2 linked regions of the Mus musculus genome follow. The protein of the gene in region 1 binds, or shares a complex with, the protein of each later gene. Links are inferred from orthologs where the notes say so. Each region holds a gene or a part of one and is shown on either strand. Other genes may lie near its edges.

Region 1 (7,701 bases):
TAGGAAGTTGTTCACAAGGTGATCCCGAGGCAGAAGAACCAGTGTTTGCAGCCGGTGTTAAACTAGGGACTGCTCTGAGGAGCAAGGAAGGTTTTTCAGCATCGGCCTCACCCTGGCCTGTGGGCCAGGGCTCGACTGGAGTGGATGTGGAGATAGGAGCTGCTAAGGGGGACAAGAAAGAGGAGGCAGAAGGACTTTCAGAGAACTGTGTCTCTGAGTCACATCTCAAGTCGGAAAGGACAGGAGGCTGAATAGAGTCAGAGGGAAAGGGGGCAAAGAGAGCAGAGTCGGGGGAGGGAAGCCTGGCTTTGGGCTGAGCCTCTGGAGAAACTTCCAGTCTGCAAAAAGGACAAAATAAAATCTGCAGGTCAGTGGCAGATGCATTTCAAGACACATATTAAAGTAGTCATTAGGGAGGGACAGGTTTTTAATGATCAAGGTGAAGGAAACAGCACTTCTTGACATACAAATTGATCATTCGTGCTGGGGAGTCGAAGCCAGGGCCCCGTGCCTGCTATGTGAATCCTCCACGACTGAGGCGTAGTCTCCCCACAGAAAGAGACACTGTTTAGCGCCAAGCACAGCCGTCACACACGGGTCTGTTCTAACAGAAATGGAAAGATTCAGCTAGAGCAGCCGACAGCCTACAGTTTCTTTCTGAGATACACTCAGTCCCAAGAGTTGACTATGACAGAACGAAAAGCATCGAAATAATGGAAGGCAACAAGTATGGATTCTGGAGAGAAAGTGCATCCATTGCAGAATCCCCAAAAAGCTTGTCTCGCCACCCCCATTCCAGAGCAAGGTCAAGGTCAAGGTGAGAGTCACTCAGAAAAGCAGACGCTCCTTCCGGCTTAGGCAGGCTCTAACGATCAGGCACAGAGGAGACAGAGAACGGTCTAAAGAGCCGACCCAGGTCTCTCACACCAGCAAACTGACCCCAAGCACCAGGAGGAAAGGCAGCCATCTCCACAGGACAGCACTGAAAACCTTTAAAACACAGGCCCTGCCTGTACCCACCACAAGCACGCACGCTCCGCTCACACGCTCGGAAGCGGCCACAGACGGTGGTCTCCTCTCACCGGAGTCTGCCTAGCTCCCTGAGGACAACCTTCACTCAGGCATGCTGTAGCTTTAGGCTGGGAAAAGCCCTGCCCTTTGTGCTGAGCAGGCCAGGCCAGCAGAGGGGCCTGGTTCAAATGACGTGAGGCTAGCAAACCTTTGCACGCACATCCTGAGACCGGCCGGGTTTGTCCTAGCGGGGGCTTTGCTGAATACCAGGCAGTGGTGGAGAAAGGCCCCATATGTAAAGACGAAGACTCACCTCGGCTTCACAGCCTTGGTCTGGGGAACCCTGGCCGCAGGAACTGGTGGTTTCGGTTCCGACCTGGACTCCGTGGTGGCTCCCGGGTCTGAGATCTGCACGTCCTCAAAGGGGTTCAAGGAGCTGCCCCACTGGGAGGCAACAGGTAGAGCATCTTTCTCAGGCCTTCTCATGAGGTCTTCCTCCCGCAGCTGGGCTTCCACGAGCGCGCCTTTCCTCTCCTTCTCTTTCTCTGAGACAGTGGGAAGAGGTTCGCTTTCACTGCCTTTAGCCGCCGCATCCCTCTTTCCCGTCACCAGAGAAAGCAAAGAGGACTTCTTGCTCTCCTGTTTCTTGCTGTCTTTTGTCTCTCTGGCAGCCTCCACGTTTGCTGGAGACATGCTCTCTCTATTGTCCCCACTGGTCAGAGGCCGGTAGGATGGCAAAGACATGGACTTCATGGAATCCTTGGTGGAAGAGTCGGACAGTCGCCTGTCAGAAGATGTGCCGCCTCCTTCCCCTGGTTCCTTGGGAGAGCGGGCAGCCAGGTTTTCAGTGGACGAGAACAAATGCTTCCTCCTGAAGCCCTGCGGGGATGGGGAATTAGAAGGGCTGCTCTCTCTGATCTCACTCCTGGCCTCCGGCTGCTCCATGTAAACGTGGTTCCCGTTGATACAGACGGTAGAGCGGGAAAGAGAGTCATTCTTGGACCGGAGGCCCCCAAGGAAGGAAAGCCCCTCTTTCTTGGGAAGGCTGAAGTTGGACTGGTTCGGTTGTTGGTCTGTACTGGATGTTCGCTTGTGAGACATGACTGGGAAGAAAGGAAACAGCAAAAGGGGTGAGTGCTGAAGAGACAGTTCAGTGAGAAAAGGAATGTACCGCGAAGCCTAGTGACCTCAGTTAAGTTCCCAGGACCTGCATGCTCAAAAGAGGACCGATGCCCCACAAGCTATCCCTCTGACCTACAGGCATGCGTGCACTCACTCACACACACACACCCATACACACCCATACACACACACACACATATACACACATCCATACACACTCATACACACATCCATACACACTCATACACACTCATATACATACACACTTATACACACACACACACACACACACACTCATACACACACCCATACACACACACACACACACAGACACACACACATACACACTGATACACACACATACACTCCATACACACACACATAAATCAAAATTGAGGCTGAGGATATAGTTCAGAGTTAAAGCATTTGTCTGTCATGCATAAGGCTCTGGGGTTCAATCTCTAGTAATAATAATAAAAAAAAATTAAATGAGAGGGATTTGGGGCAAAGGTCAGTGGTGGTGTTCTTGATTAGCATGCACGATGATGTCATTTTGAACCTCAGCCTTGCAAAGACAGGAGGAGATGGGATGGGGGTGGGGTTGGGGTGGGGGGTGGGAATGAGCAGTTGCGATCGGCAGGGGCATCTGTCAATCTATTCAACATCTGGACACATTACCAATCATGGTACCTGACAGGAGGACCCTAAGCACTCTGTAACACACAACAGCCCGAACAATCAGCGGTGAAGAATTTAAGAAATCCAGTGTTAAACCAGTGGAAAAGGCCACGTTCTTGATAAGAGCAACAGAACCTCCAAAAGGGCTTCAGTAATTGTAGCTGAAGCTCAGATTACACAGTTCAGAGTTAAGGAGGCTGGACTTCTGAGCTTCCATCAGGGACGAACCACATAGGAGGCAAGCACACGATAAAAGCTCAGCAGTTATCTGATAAAGTAATGAGACATGACGCACACGAGGGCCTATAGTCTTCTTTCATATACAGTAGGAGCCGTGTTAGAGCCCTTACTGAGAACACTCAAGGCCCTGGGCCGGATCCCCAGGACTGGGAGGAAAACAGCAACAGCAGAAACCCTCAAACGCGCTGATTCTGCGAGCCAAGCCCTTGGAGATTCGTAAGAAACAAAGCCTTTGTGAAGAACACTCACCATCATCACTGTAGTTAACTAAAACCTCAAGGCCTCCCTCTCCCTTCTCAGAGCACAGTCAGGTAAACTGGGGAGGAGGGTGAGTGAGCAAAGACGGGAACTCACCATCCGAGGCGGAGGAGGACTCATCCTCATGGGCGTCATCGTCCCACTGGGACTGGAAGTCTCCGGCCCGCAACAGAACTTTGTCTGACTTGGAAGTGGGCAGGACAGACATGGACTGGGAGAGGGGCGTCTTCTGCAGACTCGACTTGGAAAACAAAGTCTTGATCTTTGACTTCTTTTTCTTGTCTTTCGAGAAGGACTCATCGTCACTGTCGACTGAGGGTGTCACGCTGGGGACGATGGCCGAGGCGGTATCCGAGGCGCTGTCCTTATTCTTCCCTTTGATCTTGTCCTTCAGTTTTCCAAATGGATTCCGGGACTTGTCTTTCATGGAGAGGTCAAACATGCTGGCCGTCATGTTATTCCTCATAAACTGGATGTCGACCTCGATTTCCCCGCGCTCTTTGTCCTTCTTCCCGGGTTTGGACTTCAGGGTGTACCATCTAAAGGAGGAGAGGAAGAGGTTAGCTCTGGATGGAAGCAGTTCTAGCAGGGCTCCTGATCCCCTCAGCAGCCTCTCCTCTCTGTTGCTCTCACCTCTTACACTCTAACCTCTTACACAAATGCGCTTCTAAAATATTATTTATTTAGTATTACTTAGACAAGTACACTGTAGCTGTCTTCAGACACGCCAGAAGAGGGCATCAGATCCCATGACTGATGGTTGTGAGCCACCATGTGGTTGCTGGGAATTGAACTCAGGACCTCTGGAAGAGCAATCCATGCTCTTAACCACTGAGCCATCTCTCCAGCCCCACAAAGCACTTCTACTCTGTCTCAATGGAGGGGAGAGTAGAGAACTTCGCTTTTACTTATCGGTTCATTTTTGTAGACCAAGGGATCGAACGAATGAAGCCGGCATGCAGAACAGGCTACAGAACACTTGGCCCTGGCCCTGAACGCTTATCTCTAAGAAGTCGTTCTGCCCATACGCTAGACTATACGTAGTCTGGTGTACTTAGCACATTCATCTTACTAGGGGTTAGACCTGGGGCCTTGAGCACACTATACAAGTACTGTACCATTGAGTTCCACCCTCAACCCTTATAATTAGCTAGAATAATAACCCAATAATGAGTTAGTTCTAAAAATCAAGAGCTTGGCACAGTGATGCAGGCCTGGAGTCCCAGCTATTGGGATAGTTGGTGGGCAAGGTAGGAGCTTGAGGTCAGCCTAGAAAATACAAGACTCTACCTCAGGTGTGGTGGCACATGCCTTTAATCCAAGCACCTGTGAGGCAGAGAAAGGCATGTCTCTGTGAGTCTGAGGCTAGCCTGGTTTGTTTATCTAGTTCTGGGCCAGCTAGGGCTACATAATGAGACCCTACCTCAACAAACAAACAAACCCCCAAAGACAAGAATTAACAGAGACCCACAACCGGACAACATACAGACAGCGAGAGATCTTGGACCACTAGTCCTAAGTGGGAGGTCTCCATCAAACCTCTCCCCTTGGCTCAGGAACTCTGTTATGAAAGCCAGAGGGAATGGAGAATATTAAGAAGGCCTTCGAGATAACAGGCTGGACACACATATGGTCCCACAGAGATGGAGGCTGGTATGTTAGAATAGCTGCTCTCGTCTGAACACAGCACCCCAGGCCAAAACAGTTCCATGTGTAAGAGGTTTATTGGGAGAAAGAAAGAGAGAGAGGCAAGGAGGGTGGTGGCAGAAAGAAAAGGGGGGAAGGGTTGGGGAGGGCCATTCCCCTGAATGTATGGATAATGACACAACACAGGTAAAGGTGGGAAGTGAGCCAAGTGGATTCTGGGAATATGGTGGTCGTTGTCTTGGCAACAGGTCTGTAGGTCCTGCCTATGTGATGTCACAGGTTTTAGAGGTCCTGATGCCAACTATGGCAGCATGCACAGGGCACCACAGGTTCAAGTCAGGTGGTCCCAGTGCTGAGAGGGGAAGTGCACACAAGCCCCCACCCTAACCCAAAAGCTATCTCCAACTGACAACAGCTTGCAAAGGAAACATTAGTTTCTCCAAGGGAGTCTCCCTAGATATACAAACCACACTGACGCACAGGCCCCGTGCCCAGCAGTATTAGCCAACACGAATGATCTCAGTAGTATTTCTGTCGACCTTTTGTCTCAGGTTGTTGTTTGTCTGTTTTGCTTTGTTTTTTTTTTTTTTTTAAACCTTACTGATCTTTTGCTTGTATATTATGGTTTCTGATTTCTGTGTTTTTGTAGGTTTTGCTTTTTGTGGGCATGTCTCTGTGTTTTCTTTTCTTTGTTAAAAATTCTGGTATGTTTAGCCAGGCAGTGGTGGCACATGCCTTTAATGCCAGAACTTGGGATTAAGGCCAGCCTGGTCTACACTGAGTTCCAGGACAGCTAGGGCTATACATAGAAACCCTGTCTTGGGGGGGGGGGGATAGTTCCAATGTCATATTTTCTTTCAATAGGGTCGTTATTATATAATTTTTATTATATTTTCTATTATATACTTTCACATTATGTAATTATATGATTGTACTTTATTTTTTTTTTTTTACTTTTTTTTTTTATTTATTTATTATATGTAAGTACACTGTAGCTGTCTTCAGACACTCCAGAAGAGGGAGTCAGATCTCGTTAGGGATGGTTGTGAGCCACCATGTGGTTGCTGGGATTTGAACTCTGGACCTTCGAAAGAGCAGTCGGGTGCTCTTACCCACTGAGCCATCTCACCAGCCCATGATTGTACTTTATAACCGTTTGAAGTAATGAAAGCCTGACCGGAAAGTATTCACTTCTAACTTAGCTATCATAAAACAATATTGCAAACATCATTTAAACATTTTACATGGCCCTCTGCAAAACTACTTCAAAACTACTTCAAACGCCAGGGTACCAGACATATCCTGACTGCAAACTTCAGGAAGGGGGATTCTCCTTGGCATTCATTTTCCTTCTGGAAACCTGATCTCTAGTGAACTAGGAGCCTAATTCACTGCAGGCCATTGAGGAACAACAACTCCCAATACCTGGCCTCCAGAGAGCCACCCACAGGCCACCTCACAAATGGAGAACTTACTGGGTTTTTTTGTTTTGTTTTGTTTTGTTTTCTTCAGTGACCTACTTAAAAGCTTAGAGCCTGGACTTTAAGGAAATGATGGTTTTGTCCAAATGAGCACAACTTCCTCTCTCACCTTTGACTGTAGCTCAGCAAAGGCCAATCCCTCCCCCACCCTCTCTACCCTCCAACCCCCAGCTATTTGACTCAGTCTGCACACAGGAAAGTAGAACCCTAACCCTCAAGCAGCACTCCCAGCATGCCCTGCACCTCCCACACTTGCACCTCACAGGATGGCATGGCCGGGGAAGTGCATTCACTTTACAGGGGAGGGAAACAAAGCTTAGAAAATGCCACCAGCACTGCTGCAGACCTGGCAAGGATTCTCCATTCTCTGAGTCCCTCTCCATTCTCTGAGTCCCTCTCCATTCTCCTTGACCAGAAGGCTTGCTTTAAGCTTATTCTCCTGATTCACTTTCAAATTCTTTCTGGGCAGAGTTTGAGCCGCTTTCCCCTCCACTTTGTGTGGGTATGTGTGCGTACAGGAGTGCGTGCGTGGGTGGTGGTGGGGTGCTAGGGACGAACTGCAAGGCTTCATGGGTGGTAGACAAGTGCTCTAATACAGAGCGGAAAGCCCAGCCCAGACTCTTTCAATTTAAACATCCCACAATAAAAGGAGAGAGGGAAATGCCAGCATAGCTCGCCACCATAGCTTGCCACCAGCCATAATCTGTAAGATGACCAATGGAGATCCAGCACAGAGAACTGCCAGGAAAAAACATGAAATGCATCAAGAGATGCAGCCAGGACCAACAAAGTCACGCGAGATGCCGGCCTCTGATCGGCAAAGAGAGATCTTTCATGGTTTGTGAGACACAGCTGGGAAGGAGGGGTGGGAGAGGAACAGCCACTGCAGGAAGATGCAGGTCTTTTATCAGCTCTTCCCGGCAGCCTCTATCTTTCCAGGGCCTGGAGGGGCCTGGAATACTTTGCATATTTGTCAAGAGGTTGAGAGGATTATTTGTGTTTTTCTTCCCTGATAGTCACAGTTGCCTTGGTGATGAAAGGTGTTTGGGCTTTTGTAATGTCACTTGTAGAAACCTGAAAAGGAGAAGCTCAGATGACCACAGCAGGGGCTACAGGCGGCAGGGCCAGTCAGGAAGAAGGGTACTGGGGCGGGTGCTTCTCCACCAGGCTTTCTGTCAGTCAGTCAGGCATGCAAACACATTCAAGACCTTCAGAAAATGCCACCCGACTCTTCCTGGGACCGGGCTCGCCTTTCTCTAAAGGT
Region 2 (6,409 bases), on another chromosome or scaffold:
ATATTTCAAAATGACAGTATTGTAGATAGATAAAGAACAAACTAGTGATGGCCAAGGGTTGGTTAGTGACAGGTTAGGTAGTTGATAGAACTGGGAAAAAACAGCCAGAGCAGTTTCTTGGTGATGATGTTGATAATTCTGTGCCCAGATTGAGGTGACAGCCAGAGTCTATTCTAACACTGCACAGAGCCACATGTGGGTACAGCCACATACACTTTTGAAAAACAAACAAACAAAAAACACTGGTATCTTAGGGCAGTAATTGTACCAGTGTTAGTTTCTCGTTTTGACAGTATAATGTAGCCCTGTGAGTTACTAAAAAATTTTGAAAATGTTTTTTGAAGCACACTTTATTTATATTACTATGTTTCCTATGAAATTGCCTTTTGTTTTTATGGGGAAAGTATGTATTCTTCATTTTTGTTAATGTTTTGTGCCACTTTGTTACAAGACTACCTCTTGAGGGAGGGAGGTGGGCAATGAAGATTGGAGATTGATATGTAGTTGGGAAAGAGAAAATACTTCTTTTTGAAGAGAGTTGTGGTAGAGTGGAGTGTTGGAGATTAAAACCATAGCTGAGTGCCTGCTAGGCAAATGCTTGCCCATACTGAAGATAGTATTTCTTGATTTGAATGGGTTTGATCTTTTTGTTAAGTGCCATTATTTTATTGTTCAAATGACTATGAACATTATTTTCCCTTGTCAGTAGTCACTTGCACTTTGAAGAATGATTTTATTATTGCTGCTGTTGTTGTTATTGTTGTTGTTATTATACCCATGTAACTTACTTGGAAATAATTGATTAGTTCACTGGACCCAAATATTTGAAAGTGGAAGAGACAAGTACAAGTACTAATTTTATATGGAAAAAAAAAGTTGGGAAGCACTTTTTTGTTGAAATCATTGATTCCTAACCTCTGTATCTGGTTAAAGGGGGCAGGAAGTAGAAGAGGGGCTGATATCTTCCCCCTTTGTGCTTTAAATAACAAACAAAACCCCTTTGTTTTCTACGGCTACCTTTAGTCTTTTAACAATTTTACTCGAGTAGGTAACTCCAAAGTAGATGACAGAGTGTGGTATTTGTTCCAGGATTTGAACCTATTGCGTATTTATCCCATCCTCAGCTTCTTTCACAGACACACGCATTGCTGATAAGTTGATAGAAATTTACACCTCTCCTGGGATAGTTTGTCTTTAGGTCACAGTTTGCATTCTCTAAGGTTCTAATGCCCTCTTTGCTAACTCTGTCTTGAATTTAAGGGGAAGGTAATTACTGTTACCCTGAATGAATTAAACTAGTGGTTTTCAAGTTTCCTCAAGGTCCCAGAATCTTTTGAGAACTGAAAGCTATAAGCCTTCTCCAGGGAGTGTTCATGGTAACAGCACTTTGCACTTAATTTTAGGGCCTTCTTATTAATTTTGCTTATTTTTTTTTGGCCTAGACCAGATATGAACAAATTGGCTTGTGAGCCATATTCACCTAATGAATGACTTTTCTATTTTTAAGAGATTTGTGACAACAATAAAAATAATATTCAGCAAGACTTGTGTGGGGCCCACAAATCTGAAATATGCCTTCTCTTCCTTACAGTCATTTTTCAGAACCTGAGCCAGCTTGTTGTGAAAGTTCTGCTCAGTGTTCTTGCCTTATGCTGTGTAGTCCAGGGCTCATCTTTTTTTCTGTCAAGGCTTTTGTATTTGAGAATTTTCATAGGTATTTTTGTTCTAAGATATCTTTTCTTTTGTTCACGAATTAGGTAATAATTCTCATAGGAAATAAAGCAGACTTGGAAGCACAGAGAGATGTTACCTATGAAGAAGCCAAACAGTTTGCTGAGGAAAACGGTGGGTTTGAGACTTAACACTCTCCTATGGGATTTTTTAAAAGAAAGGAGAATTAGATCATGCCGGCTATTCGAATTTTGTTTTTTTAACTTGTTCTATTCAGAAATCTCAATAAGGAAATAAAGTGTTTGTTTCTATGATACCTGTTAGTAGTAGTGCAGCTACTGAGTGACAAGTACTGATCTGCCCCTGCACCTCAGACACGTGCTCCTTCATGAGGGCTGGAGTAGGAGTACTGACAGCTGTGGGGCCTACTCACATGTGACTGGAGCACTCCTGACTCTGCAATGTCCTAATTTTAGTCTGAATTTTATTTTTAGGCTTATTGTTCCTTGAAGCAAGCGCAAAAACGTAAGTATGGCTAAAATGTAGATCATGTTTCAGTTCCATGCAGAGTAGAATCATGTGCTGTGTAAGTGAGTGATGCTGTAGACAGGCGTGGGAACTGTGCTGTGTAGTGAGGCCGTGGACAGCAGGAAGAGCAGTGAGCAGAAGAAGCTCCTGTTTCACTTTACAAGAGAATGGGACCCTTTTACTTAAAGGGTTGTACCTCATTGTGTCCACTGGTAACCCAGCTTAATAAATGAAACTGTGCTGACATCTCACAAGTGTTTGACTCTCACAGCTGAGGTTGAGTTTGGTATCTTGAACATGCACTGGGCCAGCATGTTCACACAGCACCTTAATGATTCAAGGACTCCATACTTAGTGACTAATGAGACACAGCGAACATTTCCTGATTGCCTTGGAGTTTAGCATTGATCCCAGCACTCCCAGTCATAGTTCTGTATCACACCAGGCAAGGACAGGCCAACCTGTTCATGTTATTTATCTCTGCTGTTGGTCCCAAGAGAACTGAGCTGTGAACATGGTTAAACATGACTATGTCACCATTGCATGATAAAGATAGCATAGTTTTATACATGGCTGTTCATAAAATAATGGAAAGCCTGGAATCCTGTCGGTACATTTGGAGAAGTTTTATTTGGAGCACCTGCTCATTTCAGAGTGGCCGTCTCAGTTTTCATGCAGTATATTAACAGAGCCCTGCAGTGAGTAGACGATGTAAATATGCAAACTGAGCTTTAGAAACAGCTTGGTACTGGGTTGTTTACTCACCACCAAAAACATTTCCTATGTTCTCTTAGCTCAGTCTTCTGGTAATCTCTTATTAGATGACAGTGGCTAAGTGGAAGACATCATGGCAGTTGACTAAAGGTTTAGCAGGTCAGTGTAAATGCCTTACATTTTCTAGAAAGCTGTGCTTTGTAAATAAAGTTGTTGATTGTCTCTTAGGGGAGAGAATGTAGAAGATGCTTTTCTTGAGGCTGCCAAGAAAATCTATCAGAACATTCAGGATGGAAGCCTGGATCTGAATGCTGCCGAGTCTGGTGTACAACACAAACCCTCAGCCCCGCAGGGAGGACGGCTAACCAGTGAACCCCAACCCCAGAGAGAAGGCTGTGGCTGCTAGTGACCTCTTTGCTCTGGCCCCTCATTTGACCTTTCACCTCTGTCTGTTGGAAGCAGTACTTTTTACTGCCTCCTTGTCTTCTGTACATCTTACTGGGTTTAATTAAAAAAAGAAAAAAGAAAAAACAACTCTTGTAAAAACAGTTTAACAATACTAAACTGCTAAACATCTAGATGTAATCAGGTTATCAAAGGCAAGTAGAGTAATAAATCTCTCCTGCATGGTAAATCTAGACTTTCCCCCTTTGATTGTCCTTGTGATAGGTTTGTCACCAATATATGATTTAAACTGAGCACTGCTGCTGGACCTGATTTTTACCTTCCCTTTTGGCAAGGCTTTGTCTCGCTGTACGGTTTAAATTTGATCTTTTCAGCCTTCCTCCCATCTTTAAACTGTTGAGTATGTCTGTTGTAGCCAGTAAGTTCATTGCTGTGAAATGACTTTGGATGGTAGAGAAAAGGGGTCTGCAACTGCTTTTGTTTTTGTTGGATAAATTCCCTGTTGTAGGGGTGGCATTTTTCTTGATGAGGTTTGCTTCTGTCTTAGCCTTGCACAGGGAAAAATACCCATTTATCTTTTCTTGTGCTTAATTAATAGCTTTATCTTTTTTTTTTAATTTTTACACTATTTTATCCTTTTCTCTTTAACAGAAAGTAAATATGTATAAAATTTGAAGGAACCTAACTAACAATACCTTCTGTGTATATTATTTTAATGAAGAAAATAAATTGATTACTGGCATTGGAACAGTATAAAATACCAGTTTGTACAGTGTGACCTATATGTGACCATGTTACTCTTCCATTTCACACACGGAAATAAGACACAACAGCAGCTCACAAGTAATACTGGCTCCACTCCTTGGTGCTGGCAGTGTTTGGGGACAGACATAATGCTGGAAAGAGCTCCTGGCATCAGCGGAAACACTAGCGGATTCTACTCCATCTTTGCACTGTGGCATACCTGCTGATTTTCTTAACTGTTCTTGTGTAATCAACGCGCTCACCTGCTTTTCTTTTTGTAAACATTTTGTGTTATAGGCTGCATTCTTGCCTTACTGTATAGGAAAAGGAAGAAGGCTGGGTTTAATATTGCACATTTTAAGCTTTTATACCTTTATCTTGGAATGGTCAACTTCTGGACCAGATAGCCAGAACCACAGGTCTGCTGTTAAGGGATTTTAAATTGTGCGTTTTTAACACTACAGTGAGATAATTTAGTATTATCCTTTGTGTTCATAGTATGAGGGGCTATCTTATGTCATGTTGGCATAAATTATTTTGTAAAAGGGAAGGTGTTTCTAAATGTGTATGCTGACATCATGTAAGTTGCTACTTTGCACTGGGTGGTCTGGCCACGGAAAGAACGCCTTGCAAGAGAAACAGATCTCTAGGCAGCATCTGCTTCACTCAGTTCTTCCCTTCTCTTGGTTGGTTTCTAGCTGAGTTTAAAGTGGCTGGGAATTGAGAGGTCATTGGAAGTGCACGTAGGTAAGCCCCAGCACATTATATAAAATGCTCTCTGCTCATTGCTGTGTTAAAATACACATTTTAAATCCCTCTTTACCAGACACTAATGTAAAAGTACATCTTCTGGATTATAAACATGTGGTAGTTCCAGAGTTTTGTATAGTCAATGTTAAATAAAAGCCAAAACTGGAATGTGCAGAAAATAGGATTCGGTTTTCTTGTGGATTCACCTTTTTGTCCTTGTTTAACTTAAAGGAATCTTGGAGTAGACTGATCTATTCTGTTAAAGATGTAGAGTGATCCATTTGCTTACACTGTTGCATCACAGGGGATTCGCCCAGGGACCATGACCTGCTGGTGTGTGTATATATTTACAAAACAAAACAAATCACCCATCGGGACATAAGGTAGCAATCACAGAGTGAAGACCTTCGGCTTGTTTAGGTGCAATACCCCATTTCCCAAAGTGACAGTGGGTCCTAATTGTTTTTGTGACAGAAGGATTTATTCAGACTGCTGTACTCTTCATTTGATGTAACAAAATGCTATTATCTAAATATTTGTAAATAAAGTACCTGTATCTAGATTAAATTGAACATAGTTGCATTATTTTTGATCTGTAAGACTTTTCAGATGAATATTTGAACTATCAGTTTTTACTACAGCATTGCACTTAGTGTATGGTGAGGTCTGAGTAGCAGTAAAGCTACCAATTGAGCTGGAGTTTCATCCATGTATGTTGCATCTTTGAGGCCAGCACATTGCTAGCTAATAGTGTTCTCCCTTTTCTGTATATGGGGCCAAATTCTATTTGTTTGTGTAACCAGCGTGTAATAAATTTGGGAGCTTAAAGATAAGCAGATTGTCATAGTGCAGCATCTGTGAGCCAGTGGATCTGGGCAGAGTGGATTTCTGTTCATTTTTAACCCACAAAAGCTTGTCATTGTGCAGATGCCTCCTCTGGCTTTCTCACTCTGCTTTTGCTGTGGAGGAACCCCTCTGGTGGTAACTAGTACTCCAACACAATGTGGAGTTGATTTTTGGTGTTTTGTTTTGTTTTTGAAGTAATAACGTGTTCAATGAAATGATGGCTGGAAGGAGTTGGGTGGTGGTGGTCACATGGTACTAGTAAGGCTATACAAGGTTTTTTTAAGATGTCCTCTGGTTGTGTTGGTGTGTGTGGTTGGTCAGACCCAGGATTCTGCACAAACTAAGCAAGCAGCCCCCGGCTGTAGGTTTTGAAATCAGGTGTTTTGAAAGCTCAGTTTTGAGAACTGCTTTAAATGTGGCCTTAAATAGATGGTGTAGTTCCCTCATCATAAACAGAAAAAAAGACCAGGCAATTTCTATTACTATTTATGTGGTAGTAGAGATGAAGATTTATGTGGGAATAAGACTACTTCACCTTCATTAGGTCCTATTCCTGTACTGTGTCAATAGTTGGGATTAGTCCATACCTTTAAGCATTTTGCAAAGACATAAAGTAAAAGTATATGAATACAAAAGACAAGTTTTGTGTTGGAAATACAGGTCATCTAGATAATGTGCAGTAAGCAGTGTGACTTCTATTGTCTCTTGTAATTATACGTATTCTGTAACTAGCCAGATAGCTTAGTGAGGG

Evidence for each region.
Region 2: the proteins of Rab11fip1 (region 1) and Rab14 are in contact, whole or in part, in a crystal structure (PDB 4D0G), measured with the Homo sapiens proteins. The link is inferred for Mus musculus from reciprocal best matches to the Homo sapiens genes RAB11FIP1 and RAB14. Residues at the interface, in NP_001002814.2 of Homo sapiens: Glu1252, Ile1255, Asp1256, Asn1257, Leu1259, Val1260, Met1263, Pro1267, Asn1268, Leu1270, Arg1271, Ile1272; in NP_057406.2 of Homo sapiens: Leu28, His29, Ile44, Gly45, Val46, Glu47, Phe48, Gly49, Trp65, Arg72, Arg74, Ala75, Val76, Ser79, Tyr80.

What each region holds. Positions count from the first base shown.
Region 1 is NC_000074.6:27,152,822-27,160,522, forward strand, and holds part of Rab11fip1 (rab11 family-interacting protein 1), read right to left. Parts: intron 3,849-7,701; coding exon 3,406-3,848; intron 2,115-3,405; coding exon 1,325-2,114; intron 339-1,324; coding exon 1-338. UniProt on the Homo sapiens protein: A Rab11 effector protein involved in the endosomal recycling process. Also involved in controlling membrane trafficking along the phagocytic pathway and in phagocytosis. Interaction with RAB14 may function in the process of neurite formation.
Region 2 is NC_000068.7:35,179,180-35,185,588, reverse strand, and holds the end of Rab14 (ras-related protein Rab-14), read left to right. Parts: intron 1-1,757; coding exon 1,758-1,845; intron 1,846-2,165; coding exon 2,166-2,196; intron 2,197-3,141; coding exon 3,142-3,319; 3' UTR 3,320-5,384; downstream 5,385-6,409.